2 linked regions of the Caenorhabditis elegans genome follow. The protein of the gene in region 1 interacts with the protein of each later gene in a pairwise test. Each region holds a gene or a part of one and is shown in the gene's direction. Other genes may lie near its edges.

Region 1 (3,776 bases):
AGGGGAACGGAAAGAGCGTTGAGAAGGGAGGGGGTAGTGTGAATGGTGATAAACACATACGCTCACAATCTGTGACTTTGCTTTCCGAAAATGTTATGGTTTCATCATACTCTCACTGATCTGTTTGGTTTTGCTTTTCAATGTTTCTAACCACTGACTGATACACACGTATATGGTGACTGCATTTGGCTCGGTTTCTAGTTTGAATTTTGACGCGTTTTGCGATTTGCAAAAAATTTCCATCCCAGAAAATTTTGAATTAGTAGTAAGTATATTATTTCATGTAAATAGGGCATCAAAACTCAAGAATCTGTTTAACGAAAAGTGAAAGTAACAAATCAAATGACCATGTGACAATATCCCATCTAGTTTTGATGAAATACTATTCCTGTTTCAAGTTCATAAGGTCATTTGGTATTTAAATCTACTTAGCTGAACTATTAGTCACTTTCAAGAAATCTGTCATTACGCTTACTTGTGCAAAGTGTAACAGTTTAATCATAAGTCTATTACTCTTGAGCTTAACGGTAATAGGGATAGCTTGACATGGATCGTTGTAACTGTGTCATTGTTTTATTTTTTTTTAAGTATCTGTTCCTTCATCATATGACAAAATCCTTTTTTCGTTATTGGACTCCAACTATTATATCATGTGCCTTTCTTTTTTTGTCGTTCCTTCTTATAAGTGATAAGAGAAAGCGGTATTGTTGGGAATAAGAGCTGGCTCTTCTTTCGTCATTCGAGAAATAATGATAACGAGTACTAAACATTGGTGACTTCGGTGGCCTTTACTGGATCATTGTGAGAAAATTTGGGCGGAGCTGGTGAAATTTTTGAAACTAAAATCATCAATTCTAGTAGAAGAGCTACATTCCATAAAAAACAAACTTGAAAAGATTTTCTGGAATATTCTTTCCTTTCACTAGTTCTTTGTCTAAATGTTTACATTAGATGAAAAGCAATAGCTTTCAATTCAGTTATTCCTTTTCAATATAAATATTTCAATTTTATAGTTATACCTTTTTGTATTTTATTAATTTTAGTGTTAACATAGAATTTCAAATTTTTCAATAACGGTTTTCATGCTTTCAAAATAGATGACAGCACTTTATAAGTTCAAAATGTAGAGATAGACAAAATCATTTCCTTTTCTTTTTCTTGGAAACCGGATTCTCAGTGATTTCAACTTCGACCAATGAACTAATACGTAAAACATATCTATTAAACCAGTTTAGATTTCAAAACATTGCTCTATGCCCGATGTTCGGAAAGTAACAGTTTTCTCGAAGATCCAGTGATGTTTCCTCATTGTTTCTCTCTCCTGTTTTTCCCCGCGATGACATCACTCACGTGACTCATTATTGCCAGATTCAAACTGTAGCCACCTATCTGGACAACAGTTTTCCATTATATACATTTATTTTTTGCTCAGTACAAACACATGTTCTTGTTGGTATTATCTGTACCACATAGACATTCCAACTGATTCCACATCAACAATTCCAAAGTCTGAAATTAAAAAAGTTGTAATCCTTTATTGGAGTGTACATATGTGTGCATATACAGCACATACCTTTCTCTGACGCTTATCGCTTTCACTTCTTTTTTGCTCTCCGAATATTTCTACTACTTGCATAATCATCGCATTATCACTAAACATCTCTTTTATTACAGATGACTCCATCAATCACAAAATCTATTCAATCTTCTATAGAGAAGTTCCATGCTTCACCAACTCCAATCAAAAAACGACGAATTTTGATTGCATCACCACTTATTGCTTGCCCACAAGCGGGTCTCGTCTCAACTTCTTCTCTCAGATCTTCTGTATTTACCCCTCCTTACGGATTCCGACCAAGTCGACATCGAGTCCAAGAGCTTCGTCAAGTGAACTTACAGAACCTCAAAAGAAAAACTCACGTCGAGGACATGGAAGAGATCAACCGTTTGTTACCGATTGATATTTTGTTACGTGCAATCTACGAACAAGCAGAAAATTTGGAAAGACCGCCAACACCAATGCCAATTCGATTGAAGACGTCACCACAGATTCGTCGCCTCAAACTTCGGAAAGCATCGAAGAAACAACGGAAAATGGCTTTGCTTGAACAAACACGAAACATCGGGAAGATGAAAAAACCAGAGCGTGGACAACTGATTCCTCCAGTAATCAAACCCCCTGCTGTTCCAATTTTGGAATTGATTTTTTCAAAGGCAGGGATTCTCGAAGCAGTAACAAGAACAGTTGCTGCAATGTTGTATATGCAACTTATAGATTCTCCGAACGAAAATTTGGAATCACGACGATCTATTCTTTATCGGTGAGTTATTTTGAACTAAATGTGTCTTATCAGCAATGTTGATTTAGTTTTGTTTAAAAAGAAAGCGAATATTTTTTAGCTAATTTTTCAGGGAGGAAGGCAGCAAATGGATTGAAATCTTCCTTCCTGGAGTAGATGACAACAATCCAAATGTTTCGCCATTTTTCAAAATCTTTGACAACACTGATGAAGGAATCCCCGAAGAGCTTTTGTGTGAAAAAAACACCGAGTCTGCACTTAGAATTTATCAATCTCGTGTTCTTATTAAACGATTTTTGATCAGAGAAGATATTGAACCGGAGGAAAAAAGCCTACTTGGACAGATTTTGGGAGTGACAGATGAAGAGGTAAATATTGTTTTATATAATTATACATTTATTTTTCAGATAAACTTCTTCTTTCTGAAACTTCAACTTGGAAGGACAGTTGGTGGAAAATCAAAAGAAGAACTGCAATTGCTAGTTTTAGAAAATTTCAATGACGCTGTAAAAAAGAGCGAGAAGAACGGTGAAGATTTCGAGAATCCAAACGGATTCTATGAGGAATTCTTTATGCCAATTCTGGATGAACTATTCAATGACTAATCTACATTTTTTGAAATCCGACTCTAGGGGTTTAATTGATTAGTTGAATAGCACCAGTTCAAACGTTAATTCATTTGTTTTTCTACACCTGTATCCTTTTTCTATTTAAAAAAAATCTCTATTCCAATAATTTACATAATTGAATTCACAATCCACGGTCCCATTTTGCAATATTTCACGTGTCACCTTTAATAATTTTCTCAGCCCGAGATCTTATCTTTTGCATCGTGTATTTTTGTTTCCACGTTTCAATGCCCATTTTGTCCCGATTTCCCAAAATAATTCATTCCCAGTTTGCCGAAAAGAAATTCATAAAGAAATTCAATCAACTGTAACAACAAGAGAATCTGACAATGCTTCAAGGAAGTGAGTTTATATGATTATTAAAATCAGAGAAGAAAACGAGTGTATTTAGAAAATAAACAGAAAACTAATAACGTTGATAAAACGGAAAGAACGGAGTTGGAGACCAAACCGGAAATTGCAAATGAAACTGAGAAGACGCGTCGTGTGCCACAGAGCAACAGCAAGACCGCAATCACTCCGGAGAATAAGAGCATGGTTTGTAACAGTTTTACAAAGCGTGAATGGGAATATCGCTTCAAAAAAACTAAATTCAGAGATTTAGAGACGAAATGTTTTTTTTAAACAAGATGTTTCAATTTTGGCTCAATTCCCTGTTTGATTTTCCTTCAAAAGGATAACTGTGACCAATCAGCGATTCGCTCCATTCATTTTCGAGACAATCAGATGGAGTGTATAGAGCTGATTGGTTCGAAGTCGACATGGCTTTTCATTTTGGAGAAATTTCACACAGGGAATAACAAAAATAGGAACATCACGTTTTTGAAATTTTGATTTTTCATTCTTT
Region 2 (7,813 bases), on another chromosome or scaffold:
TACCTTTTTTTCTTATTCCTTGAACACAATTTTGTCGTGGCGAGACCTGAAACAGGGGTTTTTGCCTTAAAAAATCGCGAAAATGTCGATTTTTCGCCAAAAAAAGCTGAAAATAGTTTAAAATCCCATTTTTATTCAAAAAATTCAGAAAAACAGGGATTTTCGCCTTAAAAATCCGGAAATATGTCGTTTTTTCGCTTTTTTTGCCAAAAAAAAAGCTGAAAATATATTAAAATTGCATTTTCCTTTAAAAAAATCAGAAAAACAGGGATTTTTGCCTTAAAAAATCGGAGAAAAGTCGTTTTTTCGCTCTTTTTTAGCCAAAAAAAAGCTGAAAACAGTTTAAATCCCATTTTTATTCAAAAATTCAAAAAAACAGGGTTTTTTTGCCTTAAAAAATCAAAAAAAAAGTCGATTTTTTCACTCTTTTTTGCCAAAAAAAAAGTGCTGAAAACAGTTTAAAATCGCATTTTTATCCAAAAACTCAGAAAAACAGGGTTTTATGGCTTAAAAATTCGGAAAAAGTCAATTTTTTCGTTCATTTTTAGCCAAAAAAAAGCTGAAAACAGTTTAAAATCGCATTTTTATTCAAAAATTCAGAAAAACAGGGATTTTCGCCTTAAAAATCCGGAAATATGTCGTTTTTTCGCTCTTTTTTGCCAAAAAAAAAGCTGAAAATAGATTAAAATTGCATTTTCCTTTAAAAAATTCAGAAAAACAGGGATTTTCGCCTTGAAAAATCGGAAAAACATCGATTTTTTCGCTTTTTTTTGCCAAAAAAGTGCTGAAAATCCCACCACACTGGCTGTGTCGTAACCACCACGACTGTGAGCCACCACGTAGATGCTCTTAGCATTCGATGGCTCAATACACGCTATCCAGACAGTTTCAGCGTGCTCGACAGGTGTGCGGGAGTACTGAAAATCGATTTTTCAGCGAATTTTTCGAAATTTCCCGGGTTTTTTCACACCTTCAAATCCTGATCTTTACTTTCATTCAAATTAGTGTTCATCACCACAACACCCCATCCATTTTCAATAGCTCTTTCGATATACGGAATCTGAGTTCCACACTCCAAATTATCATTGATAATGAGTCTACGAGCCCATTGTCCGGCTCTGACGACACCGCTTCCGTGGATCAATACTAGAAGATTTGCAGCTTTTTTGAAATTTTTCGACACAAAAATGAAGCTTAGATCCTCATCCTCGTCGGTTTTTCCTGGAAGTTTTAGCTGAAAAAAAATTTTTTTTTTTGATTTTTAAATTTTTTTTTCCATTTTTTAAAAATTTCTTAATTTACCGCCTTTCTCTTCAGCCCACAACGTGTCTCCAGAAGCTCATAAACTTCCAGATCAACTGCTTCTCCCAGTTCTTCATAATCCTCCTGTGTAGTGAATTTGAAGGGTTTTTTGTCCTTCTCCGTTTTCAGCACGCCTTTTTCGTCGAAAAAGTACCCGAGTTTCGCCAAACTTGACATTGTTCACTGAAATTTATTTGAATTATTCGCAAAAAAACTGGTTAGAACAGAGAAAATTTCCGAAAAAACAATTTTTAAAATTAAAAAAAAAAAAAAATTTCCTGGCCGCGACCGAGGTTTCTCTCGTCCACACGGCGCAATCGCGCTCTGTTGGCAATCTGGCACAATGCCAATATTACACTGAATTTATATTTTTGCACGAAAAACTCTGGATTTAAAGTCGATTTCGCCTGTTTTCATTGGTTTTTTTCGTTTTTTCGTTTTTAAATTAAATATTAATTCAAAAAATCGATTTACAACGTATTTTACAGCTTTTAATGGCTCTGGCGTGCACCGACTCTGCAAATTCCACATTTTCACGTGTCGACTCACCGACTTCCGGCCCATCGGACCAGCTAACAACTCATGACTTGGATCGGTAGCAGTTTTGATATAAAAACAATAAAATATCAACAAAAAAAAAATATTTTCAGCCACATAGAAAAGCTGATGAGATGTGAGCTCATCGCGGAGCAAGATGTCAAAACACTTTGCGCAAAAGCTCGTGAAATCCTAGCGGAAGAGGGCAACGTCCAGGTTATCGATTCTCCGGTGACGGTTGGTTGGATAAAATCGATTTTTAAATCAAAATTTCCATTTTAAATTCTATTTCCAGATCTGCGGAGACATCCACGGCCAGTTCTACGATTTAATGGAGCTCTTCAAAGTCGGCGGACCAGTGCCGAACACCAACTATTTGTTCCTCGGAGATTTCGTGGATCGAGGCTTCTATTCTGTGGAGGTGCCCCCGCTTTTTTGCAATTTTCCTGGCGAAAAAATTGCAAAAAAAACTCCCAAAAAATCGATATTTTTCCAGACATTCCTTCTACTTCTCGCACTGAAAGCTCGCTATCCGGATCGAATGATGTTGATCCGTGGAAATCACGAAAGTCGCCAGATTACTCAAGTCTACGGGTTCTATGATGAATGCCTTCGGAAATATGGAAATGCGTCTGTTTGGAAACATTGTACCGAAGTTTTCGACTACTTATCACTTGCCGCTGTAATTGATGGGAAGGTTTTCTGTGTTCATGGTGGATTATCCCCGTCGATTAGTACTATGGATCAGATTCGTGTTATTGATCGGAAGCAGGAGGTAAAACGCAAAAAATATGCTGTTTTTAATGGAATTTTGCTTTGAATTTCGGTTAAAATTCGGTGAATTACAATTTTTTAAATTTCCGGCATTTTGCCGAATTTGCCGGAAAGTTTTAAAATTTTCGAAAATGAAAATAACCGACAAATCTGCAAATTGCCGGAATTTAAAAATTTCCGGCAAATCAGCAAACCGGCAAATTTGCCCAAAATGAAAATAACCGGCAAATCGACAAATTGCCGGAATTAAAAATTTCTGGCAAATCGACAAACTGCCGTAATGAAACTTTCTGGCAAATCGACAAATTGCCGAAAATGAAAATAACCGGCAAATCGACAAATTGCCGGAATTAAAATTTTCTGGCAAATCGGCAAATGTTCGAATTAAAAAATTTGTGGCAAATTGGCGAAATTGAAAATTTCCGGCAAATCGAAAAATTGCCGGAATTAAAAAATTCCGGCAAATCGGCAAATTGCCGTAATTAAAAATTTCTGGCAAATCGGAAAATTGCCATGTTTAAAAATTTTCGGCAAATCGGAAAATTGCCGAAATTGAAAATTTCCGGCAATTCGTCAAATTGCCGGAATTTAAAAATTTCCGGCAAGTCGGAAATTTGCCGAATTCGCCGGAAAAACGGCAAATTGCCGGAATTAAAAATTTCCGGCAAATCGGCAAATTGCTGGAATTGATAATTTCCGGCAAATCGGCAAATTGCTGGAATTGATAATTTCCGGCAAATCGGCAAATTGCCGGAATTTAAAAATTTCCGGCAAGTCGGAAATTTGCCGAATTCGCCGGAAAAACGGCAAATTGCCGGAATTAAAAATTTCCGGCAAATCGACAAACTGCCGAAAATGAAAATTTCTGGCAAATCGGCAAATTGCTGGAATTGATAATTTCCGGCAAATTTCCGGAATTAAGATTTTCTGGCAAATCGGCAATTTGTCGATCATGAAAATAACCGTCAAATCGACAAATTTCCGGAATTAAAATTTTCTGGCAAATCGGCAAATTGCCGAAAATGAAAATAACCAGAAAATCGGCAAATTTCCGAAAATTTCCGTTTAAAAAAAAATTTCCGTTTTTTTCATTAAAAATTTTTTTTTTTAATTTTCAGACTTTTTTCTAATTTTTTCTCATCAAAATCGACCAATTTAATTTTTATTTCATTTATTTCGATTTTTTCCCCGAAAAATACTAAAAAATTCAAAAAATAGTCTCAAAATCAGAAAAAAACCACAAAAACGCGATTTTTGTCTTCAACCAATCAGCGATTCGCTCCGCCCACTTTTCAACCAATCAGATGGAGTGGGCGGAGTTTGAGTTCTCATTTTGGAGGGAATTCAAAATTGAAAAATCTTTTTATTTTTCTGAATTTGATACTATTTCGGATATTTTGAAGCGAAATTTCAAAATTTACGTTAAATTTTTCGAGAAATCACTTTTTTCCAGCGGGGCGAAGGTTTTGCAAGTCTGCGGTTTGCTATATTTCGATTTACGGAGAATTTTGTAATACACACGGACAAGCGTCGATTAATTTTTTAATTTTTTCTAATAGTAAATTTACAGTTTTGGGCCATTTTTGCCAATTTTTTTTGGTGTTCAACATTAAAAATTGGGTCCATATATATATATTTTTTGAATAGTGTTTACAAAAAAAATTACAGAACTGAAGAACAATTCGAAAAAAAAAAAAAAACGCTTATCCACGTGTAGCACAAACTCCACCGTAAATCGACAGAAATCAAACCGCGCCGCAGGTTTGCAAAACCACCGTTCCGCCTCAAAAATTGAAAAAAAAATCAATTTTTTAATCAAATTTTGTTCGTTTTGATAGAAAAACGTATAAATTTGTGCTAAAAAAGCGAAAAAAAATTCTGAAAATTTCCAGGTTCCCCACGACGGTCCAATGTGTGATCTACTGTGGTCGGACCCCGAAGAAGGAAATGTTGGATGGGGCCTAAGTCCACGCGGAGCCGGTTATCTATTCGGAGCGGACGCGTCGAAAACGTTTTGCGAAACGAACGGAGTCGATTTGATCTGTAGAGCTCATCAATTGGTTATGGAAGGATATAAATGGCATTTCAACGAGAAAGTGCTCACTGTTTGGTCGGCGCCCAACTATTGTTATCGGTACGGGATGGATTTGGAAAAAAAACGGAAATTTTTTTTTCGTGAAAAAGACGAAAAATTAAAATTTTTGGTCACTTTTTTATCATTTAAAGTATAATTTTTAGGAAAAAATACAATTTTTTTCTGAAAATTTGAATTTTCCCGCTAAAATTTGTTTCCAAAAAATTTAAATTTTCCCGCCAAAATTTGATTCCAAAAAAATTCAAATTTTCCGGCCAAAATTTGTTTCCAAAAAATTTGAATTTTCCCGCCAAAATTTGTTTCCAAAAAATTTGAATTTTCCCGCCAAAATTTGTTTCCAAAAAATTTGAATTTTCCGGCCAAAATTTGTTTCCAAAAAATTTGAATTTTCCCGTCAAAATATGTTTTTAAAAGAAAATTTAAATTTTCCCGCCAAAATTTGTTTCCAGAAAATTTGAATTTTCCCGCCAAAATTTGTTTCCAAAAAATTTAAATTTTCCCGCCAAAATTTGTTTCCAAAAAATTTGAATTTTCCCGCCAAAATTTGTTTCCAAAAAATTTGAATTTTCCGGCCAAAATTTGTTTCCAAAAAATTTGAATTTTCCCGTCAAAATATGTTTTTAAAAGAAAATTTAAATTTTCCCGCCAAAATTTGTTTCCAGAAAATTTGAATTTTCCCGCCAAAATTTGTTTCCAGAAAATTTAAATTTTCCCGCCAAAATTTGTTTCCAGAAAATTTGAATTTTCCCGCCAAAATTTGATTCCAGAAAATTTGAATTTTCCCGCCAAAATTTGTTTCCAAAAAATTTGAATTTTCCCGCCAAAATTTGTTTCCAAAAAATTTGAATTTTCCCGCCAAAATTTGTTTCCAAAAAATTTGAATTTTCCCGCCAAAATTTGTTTCCAAAAAATTTGAATTTTCCCGCCAAAATTTGTTTCCAAAAAAATTTACACTTCCCGCCAAAATTTGTTTCCAAAAAATTTGAATTTTCCCGTCAAAATATGTTTTTAAAAGAAAATTTAAATTTTCCCGCCAAAATTTGTTTCCAGAAAATTTGAATTTTCCCGCCAAAATTTGTTTCCAAAAAATTTGAATTTTCCCGCCAAAATTTGTTTCCAAAAAATTTGAATTTTCCCGTCAAAATATGTTTTTAAAAGAAAATTTAAATTTTCCCGCCAAAATTTGTTTCCAAAAAATTCAAATTTTCCCGCCAAAATTTGTTTCCAAAAAATTTGAATTTTCCGGCCAAAATTTGTTTCCAAAAAATTTGAATTTTCCCGTCAAAATATGTTTTTAAAAGAAAATTTAAATTTTCCCGCCAAAATTTGTTTCCAGAAAATTTGAATTTTCCCGCCAAAATTTGTTTCCAAAAAATTTGAATTTTCCCGTCAAAATATGTTTTTAAAAGAAAATTTAAATTTTCCCGCCAAAATTTGTTTCCAAAAAATTTAAATTTTCCCGCCAAAATTTGTTTCCAGAAAATTTGAATTTTCCCGCCAAAATTTGTTTCCAAAAAATTTGAATTTTCCCGCCAAAATTTGTTTCCAAAAAATTTGAATTTTCCCGTCAAAATATGTTTTTAAAAGAAAATTTAAATTTTCCCGCCAAAATTTGTTTCCAGAAAATTTGAATTTTCCCGCCAAAATTTGATTCCAGAAAATTTGAATTTTCCCGCCAAAATTTGTTTCCAGAAAATTTGAATTTTCCCGCCAAAATTTGTTTCCAAAAAATTTGAATTTTCCCGCCAAAATTTGTTTCCAAAAAATTTGAATTTTCCCGTCAAAATATGTTTTTAAAAGAAAATTTAAATTTTCCCGCCAAAATTTGTTTCCAAAAAATTCAAATTTTCCGGCCAAAATTTGTTTCCAAAAAATTTGAATTTTCCCGCCAAAATTTGTTTCCAAAAAATTTGAATTTTCCGGCCAAAATTTGTTTCCAAAAAATTTGAATTTTCCCGTCAAAATATGTTTTTAAAAGAAAATTTAAATTTTCCCGCCAAAATTTGTTTCCAGAAAATTTGAATTTTCCCGCCAAAATTTGATTCCAGAAAATTTGAATTTTCCCGCCAAAATTTGTTTCCAAAAAATTTGAATTTTCCCGCCAAAATTTGTTTCCAAAAAATTTGAATTTTCCCGCCAAAATTTGTTTCCAAAAAATTTGAATTTTCCCGCCAAAATTTGTTTCCAAAAAAATTTAAACTTCCCGCCAAAATTTGTTTCCAAAAAATTTGAATTTTCCCGTCAAAATATGTTTTTAAAAGAAAATTTAAATTTTCCCGCCAAAATTTGTTTCCAGAAAATTTGAATTTTCCCGCCAAAATTTGATTCCAGAAAATTTGAATTTTCCCGCCAAAATTTGTTTCCAAAAAATTTGAATTTTCCCGCCAAACTTTGTTCCCAAAAAATTTGAATTTTCCCGCCAAAATTTGTTTCCAAAAAATTTAAATTTTCCCGCCAAAATTTGTTTCCAGAAAATTTAAAATTTTCCCGCCAAAATCACGTAGTGCCAGAGTGTCCCATTTCGGTTTGATCTACAAAAATGCGGGAGAAGTGACGCACTGATTTTGCATGATTAAGAACGTGTTGACGTCACATTTTTTGGACAAAAAAATCCCGCATTTTTTGTAGATCAAACCCAAAAATTTGTTTCAAAAGAAAAATTGAATTTCCCGGAAAACTTGAGCTTTTTTTGCAGTAAAAAAAAACTTAATGAAAATTTTCCAGATGCGGCAACGTGGCGGCAATTCTCGAGCTCGACGAGAATCTCAACAAGGAATTCACAATTTTCGAAGCTGCTCCACAAGAAAATCGCGGAGCACCGGCCAAAAAACCGCACGCCGACTATTTCCTCTAATTTTTTCTCGAAATTTTCTCGAAATTTCTTTCTCGCCCAAAAATTCCGAAGAATCTCCCCCTTTTATATCGCCGAAACACCATTTTTTTCCTTTTTTTTTTGCTCCCACAAAAATATTTCAATATTTAATTATTATTTTCCACACACACACACACATTTTTCTGTAAATGTCCACCCCCCTCCAAATTTTACGGATTTATTTTTTTTTCGACAAAAAAAAGTATTAAAATTTATTTCATGCTATTCATTTT

Evidence for each region.
Region 2: the proteins of F25B3.5 (region 1) and pph-4.1 interact in a two-hybrid assay, tested with the Caenorhabditis elegans proteins (one large-scale study listed by BioGRID).

The regions. Positions count from the first base shown.
Region 1 is NC_003283.11:9,568,190-9,571,965, reverse strand, and holds F25B3.5 (uncharacterized protein), read left to right. Parts: upstream 1-1,668; 5' UTR 1,669-1,674; coding exon 1,675-2,321; intron 2,322-2,400; coding exon of another isoform or gene 2,401-2,404; exon of another isoform or gene 2,405-2,412; coding exon 2,413-2,668; intron 2,669-2,707; coding exon 2,708-2,905; 3' UTR 2,906-3,240; downstream 3,241-3,776. Other genes in the region: F25B3.4 (Serine/threonine-protein phosphatase), read left to right, coding at 3,259-3,271, 3,321-3,466.
Region 2 is NC_003281.10:12,345,314-12,353,126, reverse strand, and holds pph-4.1 (Serine/threonine-protein phosphatase 4 catalytic subunit 1), read left to right. Parts: upstream 1-1,790; 5' UTR 1,791-1,796; coding exon 1,797-1,897; intron 1,898-1,952; coding exon 1,953-2,076; intron 2,077-2,134; coding exon 2,135-2,260; intron 2,261-2,335; coding exon 2,336-2,614; intron 2,615-4,505; coding exon 4,506-4,747; intron 4,748-7,432; coding exon 7,433-7,562; 3' UTR 7,563-7,804; downstream 7,805-7,813. Other genes in the region: FAM172 family protein homolog Y75B8A.31, read right to left, coding at 798-917, 971-1,234, 1,303-1,479. UniProt on the Caenorhabditis elegans protein: Protein phosphatase which plays an essential role in meiosis and in early embryonic mitosis.